4 linked regions of the Elephas maximus indicus genome follow. The protein of the gene in region 1 binds, or shares a complex with, the protein of each later gene. Links are inferred from orthologs where the notes say so. Each region holds a gene or a part of one and is shown on either strand. Other genes may lie near its edges. The genes, in order: cytochrome c oxidase assembly factor 1 homolog, surfeit locus protein 1, NDUFAF1 and TMEM126B.

Region 1 (7,542 bases):
GGAGCAGCTGGCAGTTTTGAACTGCTGATTTTTCAATTAGCAGTCGATTGCTTTAACCACTGTGCCACCAAGGCTCTTTTCTTTCTGTAAGTGCGCCTTTAATGATAGTCCATTCATTTTATTTTATCTTATTGCTCTGTGTAAATATACCACCATGTATTTATTTATTCTCCTGTCAATGAGCATTTGAATTGTTTCCAATTTTTTTTTCTATTTTGAACAGTGCTGCTGTGAACAGTCTTTTGTACATTTCCTGATGCACCTGTACAAAAGTTCCTCTAGGGTATATATTTAGAGTGGAATTAATTGGGTTGTAGGATATTGCAAGATATTCCAAATTGTGATTCAGGTTTGTTATACCAATTTACATTCCCATTGGCAGTATATGAGTGTTTCCAAATGATCTGTATCCTTGCCAACATTTGACATTGTTGTATTTGTTTATTTTTGACCAATCTGTTGGACATACAATGTTATTCTGTGGTCTTGATTTACACTTCCCTGATTAATAGTGATATTGAGCACTTTCGCATATGTTTACTGCCATTTGTCTTCTGTGAAATGTCTGTTTAATGGTTCTTATATGTTTGTTGGGTTGCTTGTTCTGATTGGTTTGTAGGATTAACTTAGACATTCTGGATACTATTGCTTGGTTATGAATATAAGAGTTATTCTCTCCCAGCTTAGGTTTTACTTTCTCTATACTGTCTTTTGATAAACAGAAGTTCTTTAATTTTTTTTTAAATAATATTTTATGTGTTTTCACTAAAGGTTTACACCCATTCAACAATTTCTTCACAAATTGTTCAGTGACATTGGTTACATTCTTCACAGTGTGTCAGCATTCTCAATATTTTTTGTTATGGTGGCTCTGTTTCCATTAATCTAATTTCCTTGTCCCCTTACATTCTCATCTTTGTTTTAAAGTAATTATTGACCATATGGTCTCATAGAGATCATTTTTTAAAGGAGCACAGTACTCATGGGTGATATTCTTTATTTTTGAGCTAATCTATTACTTAGCCAAAAGGTGACCTCAGGAGCTAGTTTTGGCTCTAGGTTTAAAGAGTATCTCAGGGCAGTAGTCTAGGTGAGTCTTCCAGTCTCATCTGGTCCAGTAAATCTTTTTTTTTTTTTTAGGAATTTGAGTTTCTGTTCCACATATTTCTCCCATTCTACCAGGGTTCATCTATTGTGGCCCTGATCAGAACAGCTGGTAGTGATAGCCAGGCACCCTCTAGTTCTTCTGGTCTCAGGGTAGATGAGGCCATGGTTCATGTAGACTATTAGTCTTGTAGTTTCTCCTTTGAGTCTTTGGCTTCCTTCTTTCTCCTTTGCTCTGAATGAGTATAGACCAATGTATGTATCTTAGATGGTCGCTTGCATGGTTTTAAGATCCCAGACACTATTCACCAAACAAGGATGTAGAGCATAAGCTTTATGAACTGTTGTTGTTAGGTGCATTTGAGTCCGTTCCAACTCATAGTGACCCTACGTACAACACGATGAAACAATGCCCAGTCCTGTACCATCCTCATAATTGTTCCTATGTTTAAGCCCATCGTTGTAGCCACTGTGTCAGTCCATCTCGTTGAGGGTCTTGCTCTTTTTCGCTGACCCTCTACTTTACCAAGCATGATGTCTTCTCCAGGGACTGGTCCCTCCTGAAAACTCATCTAAAGTACGTGAGACAAAGCCTCACCAACCTCGCGTCAAAGGAACATTTTGGCTGTAACTTCTTCCGAGACAGATTTGTTTGTTCTTCTGGTAGTCCATGGTATATTCAATATTCTTCACCAACACCATAATTCAAATGCATCAATTCTTCTTTGATCTTCCTTATTCATTGTCCAGCTTTCATATTCATATGAGGTGATTGAAAATACCATGGCTTGATTCAGGCTCACCTTAGTCCTCAAAGTGACATCTTTGTTTTTTAACACTTTAAAGAGGTCTTTTGCAGCAACTATGTTCTGAACTATATTATGCCAATTGACTGAGATGTCCCACAAGACAATGGTTCTAATCCTTTAAACCCAGGAAATCAATCCCGCAAGGTGTTTGGTTATGTCTAAGAAGTACCCGTAAGTGTGCTCCCTATTTGCTTAGAAGTTCTTTAATTTTAATGTAGTTAAATTCATCAGCATTCTTCTTCTTGATTAGTTATTTTTATGTGTTCTTTAAAAAATACACACATTTGAATTATGTTGTTGGCAAAGAATAATAAATATACTATGGACTGCCAGAAGAACAAACAAATCTGTCTTGAAAGAAGTACAGCCAGAATGCGCCTTAGAAGTGAGGGTAGCGAAATTTTGTCTCACATACTTTGGACATGTTATTAGGAGGGACCAGTCCCTGGAGAAGGACATCATATTTGGTAAAGTAGAGGGTCAGCAAAAAAAAAAAGGAAGACCCTCGACGAGATGAATTGACACAGTGCCTATAACAACGGGCTCCAACATAACAATGATTGTGAAGATGGCGCAGGACTGGGCAGTGTTTTTTTCTGTTGTACATAGGATTGCTATGAGTCGGAACTGACTCAATGGTACCTAACAACAACAACAACATCTAAGAGAATGAATAAAATCAAATGTAGTATATACATAGAGTGTAGTACCATGTGTAGCATGTATTAGTACTTCATTCTTTTTTATGGCTGAATATTATTTTATTGTATGTATATACCACATTTTGTTTATTCTTTCATCTGTTGCTGGATATTTGGGCTGTTTATTCTGTTTGGCTGTTGTGAATAGTCCTATTGTGAACATTCTTATACAAGATTTTATTTGAATATCTGTTTTCATTTCTTTTGGGTATGCACCTAGGAGTGAAATTCCTGGGTCATATGATAACTCTGTGTTTAACATTTTGAGGTACTACCAAACTGTTTTCCACAGCAGCTGTGCCATTTTTCATTTCTACTAGTGTTATACAAAATCTGCTGCTGTAGAGTCGATTCTGACTCATAGCGATCCTGTAGGGCAGGGTAGAACTGCCCCATAGGGTTTCCAGGGTTGTAAATCTTTTTTTTTTTTTTTTAAATAATTTTTATTGTGCTTTAAGTGAAAGTTTACAAATCAAGTCAGTCTCTCACACAAAAACCCACATACACCTTGCTACACACTCCCAATTACTCTCCCCCAATGAGACAGCCTGCTCTCTCCCTCTACTCTCTCTTTTCGTGTCCTTTTCGCCAGCTTCTAACCCCCTCTACCCTCTCATCTCCCCTCCAGGCAGGAGATGCCAACATAGTCTCAAGTGTCCACCTGATCCAAGAAGCTCACTCCTCACCAGCATCCCTCTCCAACCCATTGTCCAGTCCAATCCATGTCTGAAGAGTTGGCTTCGGGAATGGTTCCTGTCCTGGGGCAACAGAAGGTCTGGGGGCCATGACCACCGGGGTCCTTCTAGTCTCAGTCAGACCACTAAATCTGGTCTTACGAGAATTTGGGGTCTGCATCCCACTACTCTCCTGCTCCCTCAGGGGTTCTCTGTTGTGTTCCCTGTCAGGGCAGTCATTGGTTGTAGCTGGGGACCATGTAGTTCTTCTGGTCTCAGGATGATGTAGTCGCTGGTTCATGTGGCCCTTTCTGTCTGTTGGGCTCATAATCACCTTATGTCCTTGGTGTTCTTCATTCTCCTTTGATCCAGGTGGGTTGAGACCAATTGATGCATCTTAGATGGCTGCTTGCTAGCATTTAAGACCCGAAACGCCACTCTTGAAAGTGGGATGCAGAATGTTTTGTTAGTAGATTTTATTACGCCAATTGACTTAGATGTCCCCTGAAACCATGGTCCCCAGACCCCTGCCCCTGCTACGCTGGCCTTCGAAGCATTCAGTTTATTCAGGAAACTTCTTTGCTTTTGGTTTAGTCCAATTGTGCTGACCTCCCCAGGGTTGTAAATCTTTAGGAAAGCAGGCTACTGGGTCTTTCTCCTGCGGAGTGGCTGGTGGGTTCAAACCACTGCCCTTTTGGTATAGTAGCCAAGTGCTTAACCACTACATGCCACCAGGGCTCCTTCCACTAGTATATAAAGGTTCTTAGTTCTCCACATCTTTGCTGACACTTGTCATCTGTCTTTTTGATTATAGCCATCCTAGTGGGCGTGAAGTGGTATCTCATTGTGGTTTTTAGATTTACATTTTTCCTGATGTTGAGCGTCTTTTCATGTGTTTTTGAACCGTTTGTATAGCTTATTTGGAGAAATGTCTATTCAAATCTTTTGCCCATTTTAAATTGGGTTATTTTTTTCTTTTTATTATTGAGTTGTAAGTGTTCTTTATATATTCTGGATACACATCCCTTGTCAGATATACGATTTACAAATATTTTCTCCCATTCTGTGAGTTGTTTTTACTTTCTTCATGGTGCCTTTTGCAGCACAAGTATTTTTAATTCTGAATCCAACTTATCTACTTTTTCTTTTCTGACTTATGTTTTTGATATTGTATTTAAGAAACCATTGCCTAATGCAAGGCCATCGAGATTTACTCATATGTTAGAAAGGGACCTAACTTTTTCTTTTGGTATGTGGATATCCAGTTGTCCCCCACCATTTGTTGAAAAGACTATTCTTTTTATTGTATTGGTACTCTTCTCAAAAAAATCAACTGACCATAAATTTAGGGTTTATTTCTGGACTCTCGGTAGTTATTTTTAAATGGCAATTTCACTGTGGTGTTAATAGCTCATTGAAGAAATAATTATTAAGAATATCCTGTACACCGGGTGTTCTTCTAGGTTGTGGAGTTATAGCTGCGAACAAGGCAAAATCTTTGACTCCTTGCAATGTACATTTTCGTGGAGAATGAAAAGTGCTGTGAAGAATATAAAACACGTTGGGAGATTAAAGGATAGGTGTGTATATGTGTGAGGTTTACATTGCTTTTTTCACGTAGCCCTCTGTCTGTCTTTTAGGGCATTTAGCCCTTCCTGGGGTGGCTCAAACTGTTAGCATGTGTGTGACTACTAACCTAAAGGTTGGTGGTTCATACCCCCCCCCAGTGGTACCATGGAAGAAAGAACTGGTGATCTTCCATAAAGGTTCAAACCCACCAAGAAAATCCCGTGGACCAGTGCTAATCTGTACATACATAGGGTCTCTGTGAGTTGGAGTTGACTCAGCGTCCACAGGTTTGATCATACATTCATAATACATAAAATACAACTTTTTACATTCGTCTCATCTTCCCAACTAGCCTAAATACTTCTCTGTCACTCCATCATGTCTAGATATAATAGGTGCTCTGTGGGTATTTGGTGAATGAACAGATTAATAAGTTTAGGTAAATGTTTTATACACACACTTTCATATATAAACATACTTTTAAAATATACATGTTATTCAGAACTGTGAGGATAGTTTGGAAATAGGGAGTAGAATCCATTGTTTTGCTCTAGATTAGACCTTCTTTTTAGCTAGAATCCCAGACTGTCTGTCTCTGCTTCAGCCCAGACGTCTTCTTACCTCAGCTAGGATTCTGAACTCCTTTGCGTCCCCAGCTCAAGCAGTTTTCAGCCCTTGCTCTGTCCAGAGTGGGTGCTTCAGCACCTCTCTCCCTTCTTCTATTTCAATCAAGCAGTGAACCAGCATTTCAAGTTCTGAACGAAGACCAAAGTTGTGGGCAAGTCCCAGGTAAGAAGAGATTAATTGATGTGAAACTGACTTATATAACTACTTAATAATTTTCATGTGCTCAATTTGATATGTTGTAAATACGAAGATCTGACCTGATAACTCTATGTTTAACATTTTGAGGAACTCCCAAACTATTTTCCACAGCAGCTGTACCATTTTGTGGAGTTTTCCATGCAACTGCATCAATTTTCTTTGTAGCACCTTTCTTCCCCCTCTTCCTGGTTCATAGTGACAAAGTTTACTGCAGTTTCTCCCTAGTTTGTTTGTTCCTGATCCTGGTTATTGGCACTGTCACCCATCTCATCCTTTAAGGTGGTGCTGTGTAAGGCGCATTCGGTATGTTTAATAAGTATTTGTTAACGGAATGATTGAACGAATCAGGGTACTAATGAAGGCAGAACGCCTCAGAAATACTGAGCTTGAGGCCAGAGGCCTTGCCCGTTGTTATGCTTCTTCTCACAACCAACTCTGCTCCTGAAGTTGTTTGAAAGCACACATGTCTGAATAGGGCTGAGATTTTGCATCTTTTTTTTTTTTTTTTTTCCTGAAAGTAGAAGAGAGTGATTCATGTGAATGTTTATTTACTTAAGGGATAATTTCCTATTTAAACCGTAGCAAAAGGAGCCATTGTGGCGGTGTTTTTTTTTTTTTTTTTTAAATCATTGAGTGTAAATGATTTCCTCCAAACTGCAGAATCCTTAATTATTGATTTTCTTCCATTTCCGTTCACTCTACTGTCTTTTACGGTCTTTTAGCTTGGGGTCTGAAGCAGAAGGCTTTGTGATCTGAAGTCAGTCAGACATCCAGCGTAGACCGAGAGCTCGGATCTGTGGGGGACAATGTCTCGGCTCCCCCCTTCCGTTGACGCCGTAGTTCACAGTAGTCACATGATGAGTGGTTGTTGTTGTGTTAGTTGCCGTGGAGCTGATGCCGACTTGTGGAGTAGACTGCTTCGTAGGATTTTCAAGGATGTGTCCTTTCAAAAGCAGTTTGCCAGGCCTGTCTTCCCATGCCCCTCTCGATGGGCTCCATAGAAGGGGTTCACTCACGACAGTAACGTGTAAAACTCCCAGTGCAGGGCCAGTGTGCGGGGGGTACTCAGTGAAAATTGATTCCTTTTTCCTTTCCTTGTTTTTGGATTATAGAGTAATTTAGTGTCAGAGTGGAATAAAGCTTACAGCCAGCCTCAGAAGAATATTGTGAAGTGAGTAGTTCCCATATATGACTACACATATTCCCGATAAATTTGCAAGAAAAGAAAAAGCCATGTGAGAACTTTTGAATTTGGAAGTACTTAAAAGTTAAGTGGAAATAAAGATTGAGGACAAGAAGGGAATACTAGCAGACTGATAAATGTCTGTTGATTTAAACTGACAGGAGGCCTGTTCTGCTTTATGCCATATTCCTCTCTGCTGTCTGGAGAGCTGCTCCCAGGTGATGGCCAGCCCTGGAAGCTGGGCTGTTGAAGCTGTTCATAAATGTACAGCAATATTCACTGTCAAGTCAGTGATTTGACTAGAGGTGGAACAGGGAGGAGAGGTTTAACAGCATCAGAAGTCATTAAAGTCAAATGTCATATACACTTTAGAAAAGTTTTAAAAATTGGTTAATGTTTTTGCCCTTATTTCAAGTCATCAGTTTGTTTGATTTTGGCGTTTTTTGAAAGAGATAGAGTAATAGTACAGAAGAAAAGAAGTGCCCTCTAATTTTAACCATCTGTGTATTTGTTCAAGATTATACACTGAAAAAAGCTAAAGTGTAATTAAGACCAGGAGTATACAGTAAGTAGAAGAAAAGGGCTGTGCTTCTGTTGACACTGAAACGTCGGATTGTGCAAAGTAGCAAGCTGATTCCACAGTGATGAAAATGCAAATGCAATAACCTGTCAAGATC
Region 2 (7,708 bases), on another chromosome or scaffold:
ACTGGCCAAGCCAGTCTCTGGCCATTTTTTGGTAGGGTGATGGGTCCTCCTTGGCCCTGTGCTTGAAGACTTGTTTGTGGAAAGCAGGACTGCCCCGAGCAAAGCAGGCCAAGTGGCGCCATCGCTGCATTCCACACCAGTGCCTGGGCTGTGGCTGTGCCTGTCTCCCCTGGCCCTGAGCGGGCTGGTGCTGGGGACATACCATCTACCAACTGGTTATGGCAAAACAACTTCTGAAAACTTTTTTGCTTTACATGGGAAACAGGTATAAATCTCATTTTATGCTGTGTTTTATATCTTAGTTGTGTTTGAAAACGTTTTGATTTTTGGAAACATATCAAAATAAATAATGGCATTTGTTGTATGCAGTGTAATGATCTGGTCCTCGAGCCCACACGGGGTCCCATCTGGCCACACTGTTGTCAGCTAGGCTAGTTCCCCTCCAGGACACTTAGGATGCTTCCCTCCGGACGACAGCCTCCTGGGGTGGGGGCGGGACTCCTCCATCTTGGCCCTGCCTCGAGGGCAGCAAGGGTGGGTGGGGAGGGCACACAACACTGGGTAGCCAGGAGCAGGAAGACAGGGAGGTGCCTCAGGGATTTCTCTGGAAATTATGGAGATGTGCGTTTTCCCAGCACTTCATCAGCCCAACTGCTTCTTTGAGCTAAAGCTCTTGGGTCTGCAGTGGTGACTCTTCACCTTTTTCTTCAGTGAGCCCAGCTGCTTCTGTGGCACAAACAGAATCCCAGTTATGAGGGCCTCTCTGATCTGGGGATGGAGCTCCATGAATCTCTGTGATTCGGGCTCTTTACCCTACCACACCCCACACACATCCAGAGGTGCTGCTCTGAAACTCCCCACCAGCTGTCCTGCTCCACTGTGTGTGGCTGCCAGTCAGAGAGTCCCCATGGAGCATACTAAAGGGCCACGCTCAGCATTTCACAGATTTGCAGAAAGACCTGCAACTTCTCTAGCCCACGATCCTGTTTATCTACCAAGATCTTCATTGTCGAGCCTACTGCAGAGATAAAGGATGGTACCTAGTGATTAAACACCTTCTCAGATTTCCTGGGTAGCACAAACAGTGAAATGTATTTGGCTGCTAACTAAAAGGGTGAAGATTAATGTCCACCAGAGGCATCTTGGAAGAAAGGCCCGGTGATCTACTTCCAAGAAATCAGCCATTGAAAACCCTGTGGAGCACAGTTCCACTCTGACACACACACGAGGGCGCCATGAGTTGGAATTGGCTCCATGGCAATGGGTTTGGTTTTTCTTCCCAGGTAACTTTTCCAAAATGGCAAAAACAAAAACAAAAAACCCTGTAACTCAGTTCACTAGTCTCAGACCAGCGGTTTTCAAGCCGTTCTGTGGAGTCCAGTGCCGTGGAAGGCACCCAAGCAGCTACAACCAGGAAGCAAGTGGGAGGCCCGCCCATCCCCCCCAGTCAGAGCAGTCCCAGCTCGCTTTCATTTATATGTTGGCTTGCAATTTCACGTGTGGAAAAGATCCTATATTTTTTAAAACAATTTGAAAACTGCTAGCGGAAGCTGTTGCGATAGCGGCCCTGGGAGTTGGGTAGAGCAGCTCACCTTCCCGCGCTTCCGGACCAGCACCTGGGTGGTGGCCACCCCCTCCCCTCTGCTCCCGTCGTCCTCTCTCGGGGGCTGCATTGCATCATCCTCGTTGCTGTCAGTGCTGCCCCCACTTTCAGCCCCTCCTAGGTCCTCTCTGGTAAACAGCTCAGCTGGAAGGAGTAGGGAACCGGCTGAAGCTCAGGCTTCTAAAGGCGTTAAGAGGCGAGCGGGCAGCCAGGGAGGATGACACGCAGTGGGAGGGATGACAGCCAGAGCCACTGATTATGGTGGGCAATGGGAGCGTGGACAGCCTCGGAGTCCAGAACTCACAGCACAGCAAAGCACAAGGGTGGAGAGCAGGCCGTGCGTGGGTCCGGAGGAGGGCGTGCCTGCTTACATGGGTACAGGTCTGTCATGCTGTCGTCACTCTGGGCTCCTCCCTCATCACTGGACGCAGGCTCCCAGAAGTCTCCCGTTCCGCCAGGCGGCCTGCCACCGTCCTGGTCTTCCCGCCGCCGCCTCCTCTGCAGCAGGCAGGCCGGGACGTACTCCACCCCATGCAACTGGCATTCCTCATCTGGGGGAAACAGGCCTGTTAGCACACACAGCCCTTGCGCTCTGAGCCGACCCATGATGCTGCTCAGCCAGGGCCCCAGACCCCCACCCCATAGCAGCGGGTCCATGCCACCAGCCCAGCTCCCACCAGGCATGGAGAGGGGATGGGAAGCACGGACTGTGGCCAAGGGGCAAGAAGAGGGTGCAGGTCTACCGGCCGCCACCTTCCCTTCCTCTGGTTCCAGCCAGGCTACAACACGCCGTGGCTGGGGGTGTGCTGAGCAGCCCGAGGGCCAGATGAGCCAGGCCCAGGTAGGGCTGGCATGCGGCTCTCAATGCAGCTCGACCTGGACGTGACACCAGCTTGTCACCAGCCCATCACCTGCAGCCTGGTTGGAGTCTTCTCTCAGGCATGGTGGCCCAGAACCCCACCCTAAATGGGTGGCTCAGTCAGTGGAACTGGGCTGCCTGGCCCTTGCCAACCTTAGGCTTTGAACAGAGGATCTGCGAGTCACCGGTCTCCTCACACGCTGACAGCCCAGGGAAGCTGAACAGCCGGCGTGGGGAGGAGGCTCTTTGATTCAGGAAGGGTGTGGGGACCAGGCTGCTGTGTCCTCAACATGGGGAAGTCCCTCTGCGCCTTCCCACAGCCCCCAGTCCATGCCTCTCAGCAACTGCAGCCCTGGGACAGGAGTTGGAGCACCCCCGCTTGCTTAAGACCCAGCGGTGCACCCACCATGTGCACTCCTGGCTGTGGCCCCACAACTCTAGGGCCTGCCCCTCCAACCTTCCCCACCCCTTGCACGCTGGTACAGCTGCTGGCACAGCCACACTCTCTGTGCCTCAGAACTTGCACAGACCCCCTCTTCTCTCTGTGACCCCCACTCCTCACATCCCTCCAGCCTCAACCTGGAGAGAGACCCACGGAGAGCCCCCCAGCCCTTCCGTTCAGGGCCGGCCCTCTGGTTGGTCACTCCCTTGGCAGTGTCTCCTGTGCTGGCTGAACCACGCTGGCAAGTGCTTCTGAGTCAACTTCTTGCCCCGCATCCAGCTCCCACTAAGCTGAACCCACACGGTCAGGACTGGTGCCCCAAACACCACGTGACTGAGGGTGGCTGAGGCTGGACTCTGCCTCCCAGGGCGCCCTGCCCTGCGTTCTCTGAAGGATACCCACGGTACTCACACTTCTGCAGTGCTCTCTGGAAGCGGCGGCCCCGGGTGTGCCTCAACACATGCTCCGGGCACTTGTTGATGTGCCGCAGGGTGAGTTTGCAGAACAACTGGCGCCTGAAGGACAGGGACACCTTGGTTTGTGGGACAGTTCGCAAGAAAGGAGCCAGGCCAGTGGCTCGCCAGCCCGGCTGCATCTGAGAATCACCAAGCCCATCCCCAGAGGTCTGGTGGAAACGGTCTACAGCATGCCTGGGTGTAGGGATTTTCCAAACTCCCGAGCGAGTCTATGCTGCAGCAGGCAGGCACCACAGCAGGGCTCAAGAATGAGATCATGCCTGCTGAAGACACGGCATCAAGTAAGGCAGAGAGCTCCAGGCACGGAGCACCTACCACCACCCCTTGCTCACCCTAAGCCTCGTCAGCCATCACACAGCTAAAGAGCTCCTTTCAAATAGATACGACGCTGACATCTCTTGGAGCCTTACGAAATAGGACACAGTGGTCCTGCTCCTCTGTAGACTGGACAGAACACACATGACAAGCCTCACACCCCGGGGATCACAGGTGACTCACAGCACCGGCCTCCCACCTGGAACCCAGGTCTCCTGACTCATGAAGAGACCTTTCCTTGAGAGGAGCGCTGAGCCAGACAGGAGGCCTGGGCTTAGTTACCGGAGTATGCTACCCCTTCAGCAGCCAGACTTGGCGCAGGTAACTCTTCTCCCCCGGCGTGGGGAGAATAAGACTCCTCAGCGCCTGGCACAGAGCCCGGGAAGTGGCACCTCCACAGCGGAGGCCCTGGAGATGGTGGGCTCCCTTCCAGGGGGGCTCGGAGGTGGGGGCCCTGGGAGCACACCGAGGTGGCTGCCCCCCTCTGCCCCATGTGGGCGGCCCCGTCGCCCCACGTGGCGCCCACGTACGGGTTCTTGGTGCTGGGCACGATGTGCGGCTCGAACTCGGCGTAGTCGAAGGCGGGGAATGCTCGCACCAGGCGCTGGTACTTCTTGCCGCGAGTGTAGACCTGGAGCTCGGGCAAGCGGCAGGGCAGCTCGTGGCCCGTCAGGGTGCACGTCACCTGCGGAGGGTGGCAGCACGGTCAGAGGCCCGGCTCCCGCCCCGCGTCCCCGCCCCGCGCCCGCGCCCCCGTCCCGCCGCAGACCTTGGTGCCGCCGGGCTCGAGCCGCAGACCCGGGTGCTGGCGCAGGAAGACGCGCACCTCGGCCGGAGGCTCGCCCATTTTCGGCCGCCGGCGTAGCGCACACGTGGGCCGGGCGGTCTTGGCGGTGCCCCGGAAGCAGATGGGCCCGCGCCCCGGAAGCGCTCGTGGGCCGCTGGGGGCGATGGTGGCGTGGTGGCTGGGGCCCGCGGGGCTGAGGCTGCTGCTGCTGCGTGCGGCGGGCGCGGGGCCAGTGAGCCGGGCGTGGAGGGCGGGGAAGAGGGGGCGCGGGGCCGGGGGGGTGCGGAGGGCGGGGAGGAGGGGGCGCGGGGCCGGGGGGGTGCTGAGGGCGGGGAGGAGGGGGCGCGGGGCCGGGGGGGTGCGGAGGGCGGGGAGGAGGGGGCTCAGGGCCGGGGGGGGTGCGGAGGGCGGGGAGGAGGGGACGCGGGGCCGGGGGGGTGCGGAGGGCGGGGAGGAGGGGGCGTGGGGCCGTCAGCCCACCCTCTATCGCCGCAGGCCCCGGGCAGCGCCATCGGGAGAAGCGCCTTTGGGGCACCCCGACGCCCAGGTGAGGAGTGTGTCCAGGGCATGATTTAGGGACAGCCATCCTGCTTCCTGTCGTGCACGTTACAGGGGTGGCCTGGGGATCAAAATAAAGTCAGTAACTCCGGACTGAATGCAAACTCTATGTGGGAGAGGCTCTTCGCATTTTTTTGAAATGCATTTGGTCAAGCCTTGGTTTTGTGCGGATACGGTTGTCGTTGTGTGTCAAGGAGTGGATTCTAACTCACGGTGATCCTATAAAACGAAACAAAAAAAAACATTGCCATTGAGTGGATTCCCACTTATAGCGACCATATAGGACAGAGGGAAATGTCTCATAGGGTTTCCAAGGAGTGGCTTGTGGATTCGAAGTGCCGACTTTTTGATTAGCAGTGGTAACTCAACCTGTGTAGGATCGTACCAAAGATCCCCAGTCTTTCCTTCCATGGAGCAGCTGGGTGGGTGCAAACCACAAACTTTTAGTTAGCAGATAAGTACTTAACCGTTGTGCCACGAGGCTCCTTGCCAATACTGTCAAAACCAAAAACCAAACCTGTTGCCGTCAAGTCGATTCTGACTCATAGCGACCCTATAGGACAGAGCAGAGCTGCCCCATAGAGTTCCCAAAGAGTGCCTGGTGGATTCAAACTGCTGACCTTTTGGTTAGCAGACGGAGCTCTTAACCGCTGTGCCACTAGGGTTTCCCGCCAATACTGTAGCGAGTGCTTTATTATCACAACAGGAAGGCTCAGAGAGGTTATGTACCTTGCCCAGCACCTTACCCAACAATTGAGCGACAGAGGCAGGCCTCAAACCCAGGGCTCTGAAGCACATCATTTATGTGCCGCCTCTCAGTGTCCAGCAGGGTCTTCTGCAGCGCGTAGAGGGCTGTGCATAAATGAAGGACCCTTGAGAGCCTCTCCCAGCCTGCTTTTCTGCCATGCCCAAGGGTCACCCTATGAGAGCAAAAACGCACCTTCGTGTGTACTGTTCCATCTTTAAATTTCTGATGAGCAATGAAAAGGAGCAGCTTTGAAGAGAGCTTTGTAAACCATCGTCTAACTTCAGGGCAGATACCGTGTTTCCCTTCAGAGCACAGTAGCCAGTGGTGCCCATAGCTGCTTGCTAAAGGTTTCTTGAGCATATGAATGAATACCCAGCTCCTCTTAGTACAGTAGGATATATCTTAGCGCATTCTTGATCAAAAAAGCATGCGGTGGTTACAGAAGTTATGCAGGGTCGGGGTTGGCGACAGCCCTGGGAGACGCCCTGGGTCTCAATTTAGTCAGCATTTCCGGAGCCTGTGCCATGTGCCAGGCACTGGGCACTGAGGTGGGACCTGGGCTGGTGGCCTGTTAGCTCCTGTGCCATGTTCTCTTAGGCAGTATCGGCAGAGGGAGAATTCTTGAGGAATTGGCTGCTCCAGTCCTGTTTGTTCTGGGCTCTGACCAGTGTCGATGTTGTGCAGCCAGCACCGCCCACCTCTCTTGCTCCCTCTAGGGGTGGCCTGGAGGCCAAGCAGGCGTGGTGGTTCTGCAGCAGAAGCACGAACCACCGAGGCGGAGGACGACTCCTTTCTCCAGTGGCTCTTGCTTCTCATCCCTGTGACTGCCTTTGGCCTGGGGACATGGCAGGTAAAGGCTGGTGTGTAACCGGCTGTCTCTGAGCCTTTGGTCTGCTGCTGTCTGCTCGAGGTTTGCATATGCTGTGTTTGTAGGTCCAGCGTCGGAAGTGGAAGCTGAAGCTGATCGCGGAGTTAGAGTCTCGAGTCATGGCTGAGCCCATCCCTCTGCCCGCAGAGTGAGTGTGTGGCCGTCTGCCCAGGCTGGTCAGCAGCGGAGCCCCAGCTTCTGCTTGCCTCCCAGCCCTTTTCAACGGGGCTTTGTCAGCCACATCCTGGCCCTCAGATAGGAGCCCACCAACCTCAGTCTCTCTGCTGGGTTTCCTCTTGGAATCTAACCACCCTGCGAAGCTGCCTGAGGCTGTCAGACAGATACAGGAACATCTTGTCCTTGAGCCCTGGTGGCTTTCACCCTGTCTCACGTGCAGCGAACCTGAAGCCCCCTTTCCCATGCTGACAGCACCATAGAGCAGCAATGCTTAGCTGCAGGTGAGGGTTGACAAAAGGGGTCCTGGAGTGAGAGTGTTCTTTTGAAAAGGTGCCCCAAGTGATTCTGCTGCCCCTCCCATGTGGCATCAGAAGGCTGGGCTGAGGAACGCCTGTTAGAGGGCACGCCCTGCCACCCCAGCCCCCTCTGTGCCTTGCAGTGTCAACGTTCACTTGTCTGGCCCTTATGGGCTTCGTAGTTTGCAGCCATGGCCTTTGAGGGAGTTTTCCTGCTGGGCCTCGTGTGGGCTCAGCTCCCTCTCCCTCTGCACCTAACCCAGCGGCCCCCTCTCCATCTCTCCACCTTAGCCCTGTGGAGCTGAATAGTCTGGAGTACAGGCCAGTGAGGGTCAGGGGGTGCTTTGACCACTCCAAGGAGCTGTACATGATGCCCCGGACCATGGTGGACCCGGCCCGAGAGGCCCGGGATGCTGGCCGGATCTCATCCTCGGTCGAGAGTGGGGCCTACGTCATCACCCCCTTTCACTGCTCTGACTTGGGGTGAGTAGAACAGGCAGGGAGGGCAGGGAGCTGGCTGGCATGGCAGGTGCTGTTCCAGGGCACACGGGTTTTCCAGCAACAGAATAACCCACCATT
Region 3 (7,529 bases), on another chromosome or scaffold:
AAATGTATAGAAATCAAAGTTTATTAGTGGTTACCAGAGGTGGGAGGGAGAGGAAAAAAGGGGGTTAATGGTGATGGAAAAATCTCATAAGAATAGGTTGTACAGCTGACTATTGTAATTGCTGTCAATAAGTTTTACACTTGTAAAAAGTTGAATTGGCAAAAGTTGTGTGATAAATATTTACTACAATGACAAAAAAAAAAGGTAGCTGCTGAGGCTGCTTATGTACAAGCAAACACCTCATGGGATTTGGTTCCTTGGTTTGGAGATTTAGGGGCATGGTTTCATGGGACAGCCCAGTTAACTGGCCTAATAACATGTTCAGTGCTTCTGTTCTAACTCCTGGTTTACTGCATAGAGTCTGGGGTCTTAAAAGCTTGCGAGCAGCCATCCAATGCACAATTGGTCTCTATTCACCTGGGGGAACAGAGGAAGGACAGTCAGGTATATAAGGAAGACATGGAATGTGTAGCTAATTGCCTCCACAGAAAACTGCCTCCTTTGCCATGAGACCAGAAGAACTAGATGGTGCCCGGCTACCATTACTGAACATTTTGATCAAAGACTCCATAGAAGAATCCTGATCAAAAGGTGGAAAATGCAGAACAGAATTCCAAATTCTCATGGACTCTAGACTTTCTGGAGCCAGGTGGGGTAGATGAACCCCTGAAACTATTGCCCTGAGATAATCTTTAAACTGTAAACCAAAAAATACACTCTGAAATCATCTTAAAACCAAGCAATCATTTTGCTTAACTAGTAAAAAAGGTCTGCCTTGAGCACTATGCTCTTTTAAGAACTATCTATACGGGATCAAATTGACAACAGCAACTTGAAAGATTAGATAGGAACCTTACAGGGCAGTGAGTTTATGTTAATAAAGAACAGCTCAGAAAAGGAAGGTGAGAATGGATGCACAACTTGAAGAATATAATCAATGTCACTAAATTGTAGATGTAGAAACTATCAAATTGGTGGATGTTTTGTTGTGCATATTCTCAACAACAAAATAAATAAAATTTAGGAAAACAAAAAACGCAGAGTCCAAGGCTCTATCCCCAGCGGGTCAGATTCAGTAGATGTGGGATGGAAGCCTGTAGAACCTCCTGCCCAGGCACCTTCTGACACAGGTGGTCCTCAGCCTACCACAAGGGGAAAAAAAAAATCCCTAGAAGGTTCACCTGTATCACTTTCAGTAAGGACTATGTTGAGGTAATATTTCTGACATAATGGCTTAGATTTCCATCTGGAAAACCCAGAGACAAAGTATATTCTTAGTAACTATGCTCCACTCACACACTAAACACTCAGAGATTTGCCACAGTTTGTATCTTCTTGTAAGACAGCAAAGCTGATCTTTCATTTCCAATGAAGATCCAGAACTAGACAGAAGCAGACCAAGGCATCTTGGTCAGGAAAGATCCCAAAGGCATTAATTTTGTTCTGAGTATTCCTAAAGACCCCTAAGCCTAGCTGACTGTGAATTTCTGCTGAAGGCCTCTGGAGAAATCTTCCAGAGGGCAGAGATCTTCGTCTTTGATTCCCTTGAGGGCCTGACATGGTGCTGAACAGATAGTTAGAAGGTACTGGTGTCTCTGGTTTTTTTTTTTTTTTTTTCAGTGTCTCTGTTAGGATGTGCAGAGGGAATCTTGATCTGGTTCCCACCTGATTACAAGACTGCCAATGAGTGGTTAAAGTTGAAAATGCTGCTAAAATGCATTAGGTATTACTTACAAATTTCATGCTAGTTTATTTTTACAAACAGATATTTAGAGTTGGATTTAAAGCTGCAATCCCCTCCAGTTCCCACTTGGAAAAGCTCTTTGTGGATCAGGCAAATCTCTACCACAAAAGGAAGCTCTCAACTTATTTCATTCATCAGAATTCTGTGGAGAACGACTAAGGACAGGATAATTTGCAGCTTAGTTCATTCATCGTTAGAACAGATGTCTTGAGAGTGCTTTACCAAGGAAGACCCCTTAATAACCTTTTAGGCTGATGTACCAATTTCCTCTAAACTACTCAGTGTACTTGGTAAACATGAATTCTAGCAACCTGGAAAATGGCCAGGAAAAATTATTCTCATTTTGTAATATGAAAAATTAGAATATCAACAGATTGAGCCCATACAGCAGGAGGAGTAAAGGCCTTGTAGTAGTAGTACAGATTTAGGTTCAAATATCAACTCCACTACTTTCTAGTTGTATGAAGCTGTGAAAGTTTACTTAACTTTTTCAGTCCCCCTTTTCCTCATCTGTAAAATGGGGAAAATAATACCAACTTCATTATAACTTAAGAACTTGATAATATAAATAAAGGACTTAACTACGGTGTCTAGTTCATCCTAGGCACTATGTAAATGGTAGCTGATGTTATTACCATTCTAGATGAGGAGAAAATAGTAAAAATAGATTCTAATCCTCCTAACTGCCAGTCTAGAATTATCTATCAACTGAACTTTTACAGTCAAGGCTATAGTTTTAATATTTTTGTTAAGTATCTGGAGGCTTTCAATGAGAACGCTTTCAATTTACCCTTTCGGTTGCTATCCCAAAACAAAGTTTCTATCCCTCTGATAGTTCTCCACAGGCCCCATTACTTCCCCACCTCCCTACCACTCTTTTCAAAACTGCCTTATTTTCTTCAACATCTCTCCAGTCCTTCTTCCTTACAAAGTCCTCTCTTTCAATTCCTTAATGTTTTAGTCCTGAGGTACCTGGCCTAATACAAAGGATGTCCAAGAAGACATTTACAGAGAAACTTTATAGTCTGCAAATGTTTGTACCCACGATGATTCTTACACTCGATTCTTTCAACAGCCCAATCAGGATAGACAAAGCTGGTGTTATATCCTGATTTGTTAAAGCCAAAGACACTTACCTAGAAAGTAGCACTGCCCAGCCTAGAACTCAAATTTGTAGACACCAAGTTCAGTAATCTCTCTACTCAATTTATAAAGCTATTACCTTCTTGGAAACCCTGGTGCCGTAGTGGTTAATGCTACGGCTGCTAACCAAAAGGTCGGCAGTTTGAATCCGCCAGGCGGTCCTTGGAAACTCTATGGGGCAATTCTACCCTGTCCTATAGGGTCGCTATGCGTCGGAATCGACTCGATGGCAATGGTTGGTTTATGGGATTACCTTCTTGCATATTCTTTCTTTATATCATTGCTTATAAAACATGATGGAAAATCCTATTCGTACCTCCCGTTATCACTAGAGTAGGGCAACAAAGGACAGCTTCCTCCCTACAGTGTTTTCTAGAGAATACAGGCAGGTCTAGCAACCCTAAGACACTGAGGCCAAAAGTTACTTTCAATGCTTCCTGCACAATCTTAAAGTCAGAAAGAATTCTGGGGATGCTGCATGACAAGGATCGAGAGGCTTCTGCCACAGCCCCTCCACACCACCCTACACAGTTCTCCACTTCTGACAGTATCTGCCCTCTTTCCTCCGCCCCAGAGTTTTCTCCAGTCTGACATCCTAACGGGAACCCTTCTCAACCACAAACGACCCTAGTCGCTAAAGAGACTCGCGCCCACAGCTAAGTCTTCCTCGTCAAGCATGGCAGAGGTTCCCCGGAACATTTACAAGCGTCCCTCCTCTCCGTCTGCACCCCCTTGTCGGAAAAACTTCATCTTCCAGAGTCCACACCTTCTCGCCCCCTCCCCCCAACGCTGACCGCCCCACCCTTGCACCTCCTCCAAAACCTCCCAGTCTCCTGGGTTGGCGGGCGATACTTCCTATGTCTCCGGGCTCGGATCGCCCGGCCCGCAGCACGCCGCCCCGGCCGGGCCCCAGCGGATCACGGCCCCCTTCATTCGCCCGAGCCCAAGGCCCAGCAGCCCGGTCTCTGCCCCGCCTCCCCGCCCAAGGCGCCAAGTCCTCGGGGCTCCGTGTCCAGGCCCGGGCCGGACGCCGAGGGCCCCGGCGCTGGGGGGAACACAGGAAGGGGGCGGCAGCGGCGGGCAGGGCGCGGGCCGGGCTGGGCGCTCGGGTCGGGAGGCCCCGGGCCCGGCCAGCTCCTGGCCGCCGTGGCCCCGACTCAGCCCTCCCGCCCGCCAGCCCCGCGCCTCCGCGGCCTGTCCTCACCTGATCCAGGTTCTCGTCGCTGCCGCTGTCCTCCGTGTCCGAGTCGATCACTACCCGACCTTTCCGCTTCTTTACCATGGTGGTCCCCCGGCTCTCACGCCGGACGCCGCCCGGACTCCCCTCTAGCCCGCCTGCCAGTGGGACCGCCACTGCCGCCGCCGCCGTCGCCGCTCGACCTACACAAAGGCGACCGCGCATGCGCGCTCCGCTCCGCCCCTGGCTCCGCCCACTTCGTAGCACGCCGTTCGCCGGCGCCCCGCCCCATCCCGCCCCCGACGCAGCGTGGGAGGCGGGACCGCGCGCGGACTTGGCTCTGGGCGGAGGGCGGCCGTCGCTTGCGTAACGTCGGCCTCTGGCGGACTTGGGCGTGTCGCTGTAGCCGAGTGGAAGCTCGGCGGCGTCCCCACTTGGCGAGGGCTGGAGCCTCCGAGGTCCGCAGAGGGCATGGCCCCTGGACCCTCTGTTAGCCCAAGACTGGAACCACTCCTGAAGCCAGCTCTTCAGACAGGGATTGGACTGGACTATAGAATAGAAAATGATGCTGGTGAGGCGTGTGCGTCTTGGCTCAGGTAGACACGTGAGACTCTGTGGGCAGCTGCTGCCTGGAGGGGAGACGAGAAGGCAGAGGGGGACAGGAGCTGGCTGAATGGACACGGGGAATACAGGGTGGAGAGGAGGGGTGTGCTGTCTTGTTAGGGGGAGAGCGTCTATAAGTTAGCGAGGCGTGTATAAGTTTTTGTATGACAGACTGACTTGATTTGTAAACTTTCACTTAAAACACAATTAAAAAAAAACAAAAAAACAAAGAATCTGAGTCCACTCTGAGCAGGCTCACTCATCTCCAGCCTTTTAAGTGTCAGACACCCATTGAGGGATGGAGCCTGCCAGGGCTGTGCAAGTGACAGGTGATCTGGGGCCCGGAGGATGCACCTGAGTTAGCCCAGAGAGTGGGGGGGAAGGCTGTTCCAGGCACAGAGAACAGCAGGGGCAAAGGCCCAGTGATCATACAGAGTGTTGGGTTGAGGGAGCTGAAAGTTCATTATGGTGGGTGCAAAGAGTATGGTGTGTGGGAATGAGGTGAGAGATGACGGCGGAGGAGGGACGCAGCGGCCACATCTTTCAGAGCCTGATGAACAACATTTAAGAATTCGAACTTAAATACTGAAAGATTTTAAACCGAAGAAAGACATGATTAGATTTGTGTTTTTAAAAGATTACTCTGGCCGCAGTATGGAGAATGCATTAGAAGGGAGTGAAACTCAGGGTAGGGAGGCCACGTGGGCTGTTGGTATCATTTTGGCAAGAGATGATGGTGTCCTGAACTAGAGAAGAAGCAATGGGAACGGAGGGAAGTGAGCAGATTCTTAATAATTTGGAAGGTAGAACCCCCAGGACTTAGAGATTAGTTGGGGCAGGGATAAGAGAGTGCTAGGTCCCCAGATAAGGCTCAGATTCTGGTTTAGGAAGTGTGTGGCTAGTGGGCCCTTAGTCAACATAACACAGGAGAGGAGAAGGTTTGGAGGTCTGATGTGTGTAGGGAATGAGTTCAGTTTTATACATGTTGAGTACAGTTGATAAAAAGGTCAGTTATCTCAGTATCTTACCTGGTGGTGTGACAGATGATCACCCTGGAGAGATCTGACCTCTGGTCACCGTGCCCTTCCCAGGCCAGAGTTGCTGCGCTTGTCCATTCATTGTCACAAGTTGGTAAGAGAGTACCAAAATGTGTCCAAGTGGATCACCTAGGTACCAAAAACCTTCCGCCCTGCTTCCACTGTGTAACGGCAGCCCAGTCTTCTTTCTGATCAGGATCAGTTTCTCCTGCTGAGATGGTGACTCCTTTTCTTGCCTATACAGGAGGGACCAAAGTGCCCAAGTGACAGCTGTAGCTTAAAGTTCAATAGGATCCTTGCTGTGTTCCCTTGTGGAGGTCTTCCTCCTTTGGGGAGCACTTTAATCTTGCAGAGCCCAAAGTTGTGGGGCAGGAAGCACAAATGTCCTAAGTGGGTCATTGGGAGTGATGATAAGTGAGGCCACTCCTGCTTCTACCCCTTACGAACCAGTCCCATGTATTCTCACTACTGGGGACAAAGCATCATAAAAAGATCTTTGATTCAAGGTGTATACTGCACCCTGAAACTGGCATCCTAGCCTCATAAAGTAGTGCCTCTGAATTTGTGCTTCAACAGGCCATTTCAATGCTCTATTAGGCAGCTTCTGAGTAATGTGGTTTGATGGTTTAAAACAGATCTGCAAATTATTTGACACACACACAAAAAAAACAAAAAGCAAAAACCCATTGCCATCGAGTCAACTCTGACTCATGACCCTATAGGACAGAGTAGAACTGCCCTGTAGGGTTTCCGAGGAGCAGCTGGTGAATTCAAACTGCCAACCTTTTGGATAACAGCTGAGCTCTTAACCACTGTGCCACCAGGACTCCTCCCTTCAAAAGACAGAGCTTAATTCCTTTCCCCTTGAGCGTGAGCTGGTCTTGTGACTCACTTCTAACAAATAAAGCAGATAAGATGGCATGCGACTTCCAAGACCAGGTCATTCAAAATACTGTGGTTTCTTTCTTCTCTCTCTCATTTTCCCTGATTCCTAGCTCATTACAGGAAGTTAGCTGCTGTGTTGTAAGGACACTCAAGCAGCCCTGTGGAGAGATCCACTTGGCTAGAAGCTCCTACCAATAGCTATGTGAATGAATCCTTTTGGAAGTGACTCTACCAGCCCCAGTCAAGACTTCAGATGGCTGCAGCCCTGGTTAATATGTTGACCACAATCTCATGAGAGACCCTGAACCAGAGCCATCCAGCTAAGCTGCTCCCAGATTCTTGATGCTCAGAAACTATGTGAAATAACAAATGTTTCTTGTTTTAAGTCACCAAGTTTTGGGGTAATTTGTTATGAAGTAATAGGTAACTGACACACGTGGAATGCAATATAACCGTGGTCATGAGCCATACCTCCTTTGCTGTAAAGCAGGCACTCTGGACTGATACAGTATTATGTGGGACCCCATGTCAGGGCACCGAGCACTTCATAATCCCTCTGATAGTAATGCTGGGAGAGAATCAAAATACATGTGTTTTGTTTTTGTTTTTTTTCCTGTCACAACAGATCAGTGGCCTTCCATGGTGGGAGGATCCAATGTTTTTAACTTGCCACCAAGTGACCAGCTAATCTCTTTGAGGAATACTGCCCTGTAGGGGCTCAACGTTAGTCTCTGTTGGCGGCATGTCAAACATTTGATGACGGCAATGGGTAAATCAGCCTTGAAATGTGAGAATCCATGCTGTTGGACCCGTGTACATATTCATCTCTGACACTGTGGCCATTTATGTGCCAATCGTACCAGCACTGGGGTGGCCAGTGATAGAGGCTTCCTGATGTCAACAGGCCAGGTTACCCTGTCTGTTTGATTATTTGTTGCCT
Region 4 (7,596 bases), on another chromosome or scaffold:
GGACACTGCTCTCTATACAACAAACCTAGGCTGCACTTTATAATCTGTCAGCTTGTCATACTGTAGTGGCTTGTGGGTTTCTATGATGCTGGAAGATATGTCACTGGTATTTCAAATACCAGCAGGGTCACCCATAATGGATGGGTTTTAACAGAACTTCCAGATTAAGACAGACTAGGAAGAAAGGCCTGGCAATCTACTTCCAAAAATTATTCAATGAAAATCCTATAGATCACAACAGAATATTGTCCAGCATAATGCTGCAAGATGAGCCCTGTAAACTGGAAGGCACTCAAGCATACCAGTGATTGTGAACATGGCATAGGTCTGGACGATGTTTTGTTCTGTTGTACATGGGGCTGCCACGAGTTAGAGCTGACTCAGTGGCAACTAACAACAACATACTTCATAATTTATTTGTTTTTACTTACAGAAATAGTACAGATAGTAAGCTTAGCCACTTAAAAAATATAATATACCTTGTTTGGCTAGCTGTCTATAGTATTCTAATATGTACCTTAATACTAACAGTCTTAAGATATTAAAAATAAAATAAAATGTTTCTCAAACTAGGTCAGTTCAGAAAAATAGATTACATAATACATACACTTTAGTATAGTCAAAATATATATTTATTTTGCTAATTAGAACTTGTTCATTACCTAAAAAATTTGATCCATTATAATCAATTCATTGTTAGAGAGAAGGAAGAAAAGGACGGAGGGAAGGGAAGGGAAGAAAAGAGAAAAAAGAAGAAAGAAGGAAGGGAGGGTGGGAATAAACATTAAATTATTTCTCATAAAGTATTATAATTTTCAATAACTTGGCAATTTTTAGAACAGTTCCTTTAAAGATAGAAATTTTTAAGAAGCCGTCTATTGGGTTTAGAAACCTTAAGTTCACCCTTGGTAAGTTATACCTAGAACATCAATTACCCTTCCTCCTCCTCCTTTCCATCTACCCTTTTATCCCTTTCTCCCCTCTCTTCTCCCACTTTTCTTGCTCTCTCCTCCCTCTTCTCTCTCTCTCACACACACACCCCACACACAATGTATTTGATTCAATTATTAGCTAGTCCAAAACGGACACTGCCTAGAGTAATTTGTGTCTATAAATTTAGGTGGGAAGAATTTAAAGACAGAGCAAACTAAATGACTTGAAGAGCCATATCGTTTATTAGCTACATTCACAAAACCACTCTTATTCCAGATAAACCAACTGTGTCAAGTGTGCACAGGTGTGGCTCCAAGATCTCAGAGGGGGCTACTTCCCTCAGTGATAGTATCAGGGTGGGGGAGGTGAGGGTGAATGTGAGGGTAGCTGGGACAATCCCAGTCTTAAATTCCAGTGTACAAAGAACTGTTCTAGGCATTGCCAAGGTTTCATGTATCATTTTCCAACACTACAGGTACTAGCTCAGATGAAACATCTCACTGATTACAATTTTCCTCAATACACCTTCCAAACTCACAGATAGAAAGATTAAACACGTTTTAGGGCCAGGTTGCACTACTTTTGGTCACTGACAATGGTAGGAAATGGCTCAGGATCCAGGAAATTTACCGTTCACCGAGAACTTCAGTTTCAGAGTGTAGCAACTCCAACAACTGGCCAATATTTGGATCTATGCTAGCCCAGTATAGTAAAGTTCAAGGGTGTTCAAATAAATTTTGATTCAAAACTCTCGAGAAAAATTCTTTATAGTTGATCTGATCTTCCATATCACATTTAAAAAAGAAAGTAGTATCGCTAAGAAATTTAAGTACAGATCTAGGCTAATGTGAATCCCCAGGGTCTGACCAATAATAGACCATACTTCAGAAACCCACTGGATATTGATTCATTCCCCGTGATAAAAGTTGTTGGGAGGAGGTGAAGGGAGAAGCTATGGGTTTGCCTCTTTTGGGTAACTTGCCAATTATGCCACTGGATAAGGCATGTATCTAGAAAAATACAACAGTTAACCAAAGTTGTGCTTTACTACAAAAAGTGAAGATTTACATTAGAGTATAAATAAATGTGAAATTTATTTTTTAAATCAAAAGATAAATTGTAAATTTCTAAGTTTGTTCAGGGCAAACAAAATTACTTTGCTATCTCTTGCAACTATGTAATTAGCTTGATAAATATTAAATCCATGGGGAAAAGCTCCACTGTACCGGTTTGTTTGTTTTTTAAAGATTGATTAAAAGTAATTTTTAACGATCTAAGAAAACAAGCTAAAAAAATCCCAAATCTGTGGCGCTGAATATATTCTTATTATAAATGGTGATTTGGACAGCCTGATTTACAAAATCACAAACGTCTATAATTAAATACTATGTTGTTGTTGGTTACCACCGAATTGACGCCAAATTAAATACTATAGTCCTACTTACTTTTTCTTTAGCAAAATATTACTGAATGATGTACCACTGAATAATCATTACCATAGATATTTCCCCAAACCAAAATTTTGCCCTCAAATGGAATACAATTTAAATCATAAATAGCAGAGCCAAAAAAGGGGAGAAACAAATATTATAGAGGAAGCCTCATAGCCCACCTTTCCTCTTGACTGGCATTCTTGGGTCTTTCCACTTCCACAGGATTCAAGATATCTTTTCACGTCTCAGCTTGATCCAGCTGGATTTATGCCAAGAGCCAGGTAACTGTTCCAAACCACTTCACTGTTCAGTTTTGAAATCCAGGCTGAGTCTTCTATTTCACATAAAGAAAATAATAATGTATTTTTTCCTCAGTTAAACTTTTGACACTGCCCACAGGGTTTAGAGAAAAATAACTTCTGAGTTTTTCAAGTTTTCCGATATTTATAAAATATTTATTCTGATTTAAAAAACTGAGAAAAGTATTGTAGACATAGAAAATGTTATTAAAACTCCTCTTCAGGCAGCAACATTTTGGAAGTTCAATGACTAAGTTCAGTTAAGGCACAAACCAAATTTAGACAGATGTTTCATTCTATACATGATCAAGTTCAAAGATGAACTAGTTGATTATAAAGACCCTCAATTCTTTACAGAGAAATTTAACCTTACCCGTCTCCCTCCCCCGCCAAAAAAAAAAACACTGGTGTCTAAAAAGGTAGGTGAGTTTGAACAGTTCGCTGGGGCTAAACAAACTGGAAGGCCCCTTTCTGTTTACTGGACCAGAAGTTCCGGATCTCACCCCCTCAGTCAGACAGGATCCAGCTTGCTGTCACTTTCATTTTTTTCTTCTGTGCTCTGCAAGCCCCCCACGGCTTGTTCTTTAATGCCCCTCTGATTCTGATCCTCCCATGTATTAACCGAGAGGATTGAAAAGAAGGAAAGCAATCCCTTGGCATAGAGACATTAAAGTGACAGTGCTACTCAATGGGCACTTGATGCAGGATGAGTTGGCGAAGCAGATTTCTTCACACTGGAGTCATTCACATCATGCCATCTCTTCGCATCCAAACAGCTACCTATCCGGCAAGGAAAAACACAGACTGTTCGTCAGGAGAAGCCAAACCTTCCCCCGAAAGGTGTTTTCAGAGACGCTGTAGTTGTATTAGGCATGTAAGCATAAGCTATGCAAACGGTCCGCGATTTCCTAAATGAGAGTTCAGCTGCTTGCCTTCCACATCCACTCTTTCTCTTAATCTTTTTCCAAACTACCCACCTTCCTTTTGCAAAAAAAAAAAAAAAAGAGAGAAGAAATCTCTCTGCCACCGCTGCCACCCCGGCCCACACCCCGTTCTTATATAGAAGAGCACTGAAATGTTCTGCACCCTCCACGCGATGAAGTGTTTCCTCAGGCAGGAGGAACAGCAGCACTAAATATTATATAACTCTCGAATTTGGCTTTAAGACATGGAGTCTGGAGGGTCGGGGGTTGCTGGTCTGGGAGATACTGCGTGCCCAAAAGAGCGCCTGGCCTCCTCACAGCGCTCCCCAACCCGAAACACCGGCTGACAAGGGGGTCTTCTGGAGTAGGGGAGCGGGGGGTGCCAAATTTCTCTCTGGTTCCTTCCCAAGCGGGGCGAGAGAATGGAATGTGAGGGGACTAAAGAACGGGGAAAGGAGTCAGACGGCTGCGAGGGGAGGAAGCTAGTAAGGGGTACTCTGGCGGCCCCGGGTGGCCGGTGAGGGTTCTAGAGACGAGGTGCCCGAGAAGCCGGAGCCTTAACACAAGGACCAGGCCATAGGGAACGAATTTCCTCAGAGACTGAAAGGGGCAAAGAGCTCGACCCCAGCTAATGGAGCGCTCCTGAAGTGAGGACGGCGGGCAGCAACATGCACAGGTTCGGCTAACTCCACTCTCCCCTCAGGATAAGAGGAGAAAACACCACCGGGCTGACAAAGGGCCGGGGATGGAATGCGGGACTAGCAGAAGGGCGGGCTCACTATCGAAGCCAATGAGTGGCCGTAAATTCTAGACGCCATGGAGGGCGCGGCTTTCGACTGGGTGGGGGCGGACCCAGGCTGAGAGCAAGAGGCGTGAGCCTGCACCACTTCCCGCCCAGGGTGTTCTGGGCGCGGGTCCACCCATGGGTCACGTGAGCCGCCAAAATGGCGGCGCTCGGGCGGGCAGCTGGGTCTCAGCTGGGGGATGTAAGTGTGGTGCCGGTGGGAGCTGGGGAAGCGCCCAAGGTAGGCGGAAATCCAGAGTGGTGTGGGTCGTGACTCTGGGGACTCTCCTGAGATGATGCACGTAAAGGGGATTTGAAAAACAAGAACAGCTCCAAGTCCACGCAGGGTGCAACCAATTATGCTCCTAGTTCCTATTGGAAAGAGTCCGAGAGACTACCAGTAAACCAGCTGCCTATAGAATGGATTCCTACACGTGACAATCCCATATTTGTCAGAGTAGAGCTGTGTTCCATAGGATTTTCAATGGCAGATTTTTCAGAAGTAGATTGTCAGGCCTTTCTCCCGAGGCACCTTGAACTTCAAACCGTTTGTTTTCCCCACCCAGGGACTTTGGAGGGAAGACATAAAGTCTAGTCCTGATGGTCTGCAGCTTGTTTTCTCTTGCCTCTGGGCCTTTGTACCCTTCTTTCCTTTAACCCTGGTGGTGTAGTCGTTAACCAGTAGACTGCTAATCTAAGGGTTGGAGATTGGAACCCACCAGCAGCTCTGCAAGAGAAAGATGTGGTAGTCTTTTTTCATGAAGACCATAGCCTTGGAAACCTTATGGGGCAGTTTTACTCCGTCTTGTAGGGGTGCTATGTGTCTGAATCCTGTCTACTGCAGTGGGTTTGGTTTTGGAATAGTCCCTGCCCCTTTTCTCCAGACTAACCTCCCTCAATTCTTCTCTCCCGACCTAACCCTTCCCCCTCCCCCAATTCTGGGATCCTTGCCAAAATAACCTTTCCTCCAGGAAACCTTCGCCCTTGGTAGGTTAAGTAGACCTTTTTTGTTTGATTGTTTATGGCAACCTCATTCTGCATTTTAATTGTCTGCTTTTTTTGTCCTGATTTCCGCTATTGGTGGGCTCCTAAGGACATGACTATTATTTGATTATCCAGGTGTCTGTCATGTGTGTGTCATATACCAGGTGTTCCATAAATGATGAGTGAATGTTAAATAAAATTCTGAAGGTCAGATGAAATAATACACATAAAAAGCACTACAAAAACCGTAAAAAGCATTGCAGACTATCCCAGTTGCTGTGAGTCATTCTGACTCATAAGCGCACTTGTGTAAGTGTGGTGGCCAGTTGAGTGACTTGGACTAGCTCATTTTTAGATAAAATGTTGATTAGAGCAAAATCTTTACATTTCAATTCTTGTAAAAGTCTTTCTGAAAATTACCGGTCTATTTTTTTTTTTTGCTTTCCCGAGTGTAATGAAGACAATGTTTTGTATTGACAATGTCTTGCAAAGAACTAGGCACTCAATAAATATTTGTTCTGTTTCAGTATTTTAGGATCATAATCTTGGTATCTCTTTTCTCTGTTCAGAGCTGGCCGTATAAACTGAATAGGAGATTGTTGTAAGGTATTGCCTGAAGTTTTTTTGTAAGGGATGGAGAATTTCCATGTAGTGGCCAACAATAAAACAAAAATGTATCCAAGGTGTCTGGTAAATCATCACGGTACTGACATTTGCCTTTCTAGTACATTAAACAGGTTGGATACTAAGAGTTTGGCTGCTAACCAAAAGGTTAGCAGTTCAAATCCACCAGCTGCTCCTTGGAAACCCTATGGGGCAGTTCTACTCTGTCCTATAGGGTCGCTATGAGTTGGAATCGATTTCGATGGCAACAGGTTTTGTTTTGTTTTTTGTAGACATTACTATCTTTTCCTTTCCATTTTCAATTCGGATATCAGAGAGAGGCAAAATCTTAACTATAAACCAAAAAAAAAAAAACCCATTGCTGTCAAGTCGATTCTGACTCATGGTGACCCTGTACAATAGAATAGGGCTACCCCATAGGGTTTCCAAGGAGCAGCTGGTGAATTCGAACTGAAGACCTTTTGGTTAGCAGCCTGAGCTCTTAACCACTGCACCACCATAGCTCCCACAGTGAAAGAAACTGGTCCATTATTACTCAGTGTGTAAAACCGTAAGAACGTTCAGAGGCGCCCATACCTTCATTTTGATGCTATGGATGGCCTTCAGTAGTTAGGATGTTGGAACAGATCACACATTCAGCAAACATGTATTTTAGTGATGTTGAAAATGTGTCCATTGACCACTGGCATCAGAAGCACTTGAGGTGCTATTAATGCAGATTTCTAGGACTCACCCCATTCCTATTGAATCTATCTCCAGAGGGAGCTCAAGAGACTGCATTTCAAACAAACTCCCCACTGAAGGTTGAGAGCCACTGACTTCGTATCTTCTGTGCTCATTGTGCATCCAGCCTAGTTGCTGTCCATTTAGTTCTGACTCATGGCAATCTCACCTGTATCAGAGTAGAACTGTGCTCCATAGGGTTTTCAATGTCTGATTTTTTGAAAGTACATTGTCGAACCTTTCTTCAGGGGTACATCTGGGTGGACTTGAATCGCCAGCCTTTCAGTTAGCAGCTGAGCACATTAACCATTTTTGCACCACTCAGGGATTCCTCATTGTGCTTGTTAGTTACCATCCAGTTGATTCCAGCTCATGGAACCTCCATGTATGCAGAGTACAGCTACAGTCCATCGGGTTTTCAAGGCTGTGACCTTTCAGAAGCAGATCGCCAGGCCTTACTTTTAAGGCATCTCTGGATGGGTTTGAACCATTAATCTTTCAGTTATCTTAACCATTTGCTCCACCCAGGGACTCCTTGTTGTGCCTAATCCACTCTAATTCTCTTGCCCAGGACTTCTGAAATTTGAGATTAAGTATATGCCCTTGACTATAAAAGTTGTTAAAACGTAGATTGATGTAAATTTGTGAATGGACCGTAGATTTTTATTTATTCACTGGCTGATATGGAGGATATAAGAAAAAATAGGGAGAGGAAAAAGCACTGAATTTTGCATCGAGACTTTCCATTTACCAATATAATATGTAAACATTTGCAACCACAAGTTAGGATTTGCTAAAAATGTCATGTTTCTTCATTTAAATGAAATTAAACACAACTCTTGAATCCCCTAATGCCAGAGTGGTAGAAGATTTAACAGATATTATTAGGACTT

What was found.
Region 2: cytochrome c oxidase assembly factor 1 homolog (region 1) and surfeit locus protein 1 share a complex: the UniProt entries of both Homo sapiens proteins name them as parts of the MITRAC (mitochondrial translation regulation assembly intermediate of cytochrome c oxidase complex) complex. The link is inferred for Elephas maximus indicus from reciprocal best matches to the Homo sapiens genes COA1 and SURF1.
Region 3: cytochrome c oxidase assembly factor 1 homolog (region 1) and NDUFAF1 share a complex: the UniProt entries of both Homo sapiens proteins name them as parts of the mitochondrial complex. The link is inferred for Elephas maximus indicus from reciprocal best matches to the Homo sapiens genes COA1 and NDUFAF1.
Region 4: cytochrome c oxidase assembly factor 1 homolog (region 1) and TMEM126B share a complex: the UniProt entries of both Homo sapiens proteins name them as parts of the mitochondrial complex. The link is inferred for Elephas maximus indicus from reciprocal best matches to the Homo sapiens genes COA1 and TMEM126B.

Annotation. Positions count from the first base shown.
Region 1 is NC_064826.1:106,440,867-106,448,408, reverse strand, and holds the start of cytochrome c oxidase assembly factor 1 homolog, read left to right. Parts: upstream 1-4,420; 5' UTR 4,421-4,818; coding exon 4,819-4,868; intron 4,869-5,590; coding exon 5,591-5,646; intron 5,647-7,542. UniProt on the Homo sapiens protein: Component of the MITRAC (mitochondrial translation regulation assembly intermediate of cytochrome c oxidase complex) complex, that regulates cytochrome c oxidase assembly.
Region 2 is NC_064827.1:5,193,662-5,201,369, forward strand, and holds the start of surfeit locus protein 1, read left to right. Parts: upstream 1-4,542; 5' UTR 4,543-4,603; coding exon 4,604-4,714; intron 4,715-4,977; coding exon 4,978-5,029; intron 5,030-6,504; coding exon 6,505-6,638; intron 6,639-6,721; coding exon 6,722-6,804; intron 6,805-7,420; coding exon 7,421-7,612; intron 7,613-7,708. Other genes in the region: SURF2 (surfeit locus protein 2), read right to left, coding at 643-726, 1,593-1,747, 1,975-2,154, 3,316-3,419, 4,226-4,380, 4,465-4,542. UniProt on the Homo sapiens protein: Component of the MITRAC (mitochondrial translation regulation assembly intermediate of cytochrome c oxidase complex) complex, that regulates cytochrome c oxidase assembly.
Region 3 is NC_064828.1:14,641,967-14,649,495, forward strand, and holds the start of NDUFAF1 (complex I intermediate-associated protein 30, mitochondrial), read left to right. Parts: upstream 1-4,460; 5' UTR 4,461-4,535; coding exon 4,536-4,660; intron 4,661-7,529. Other genes in the region: RNA polymerase-associated protein RTF1 homolog, read right to left, coding at 4,092-4,289. UniProt on the Homo sapiens protein: As part of the MCIA complex, involved in the assembly of the mitochondrial complex I.
Region 4 is NC_064825.1:36,040,687-36,048,282, reverse strand, and holds the start of TMEM126B (complex I assembly factor TMEM126B, mitochondrial), read left to right. Parts: upstream 1-4,506; 5' UTR 4,507-4,532; coding exon 4,533-4,613; intron 4,614-7,596. Other genes in the region: DLG2 (disks large homolog 2), read right to left, coding at 2,546-2,564. UniProt on the Homo sapiens protein: As part of the MCIA complex, involved in the assembly of the mitochondrial complex I. Participates in constructing the membrane arm of complex I.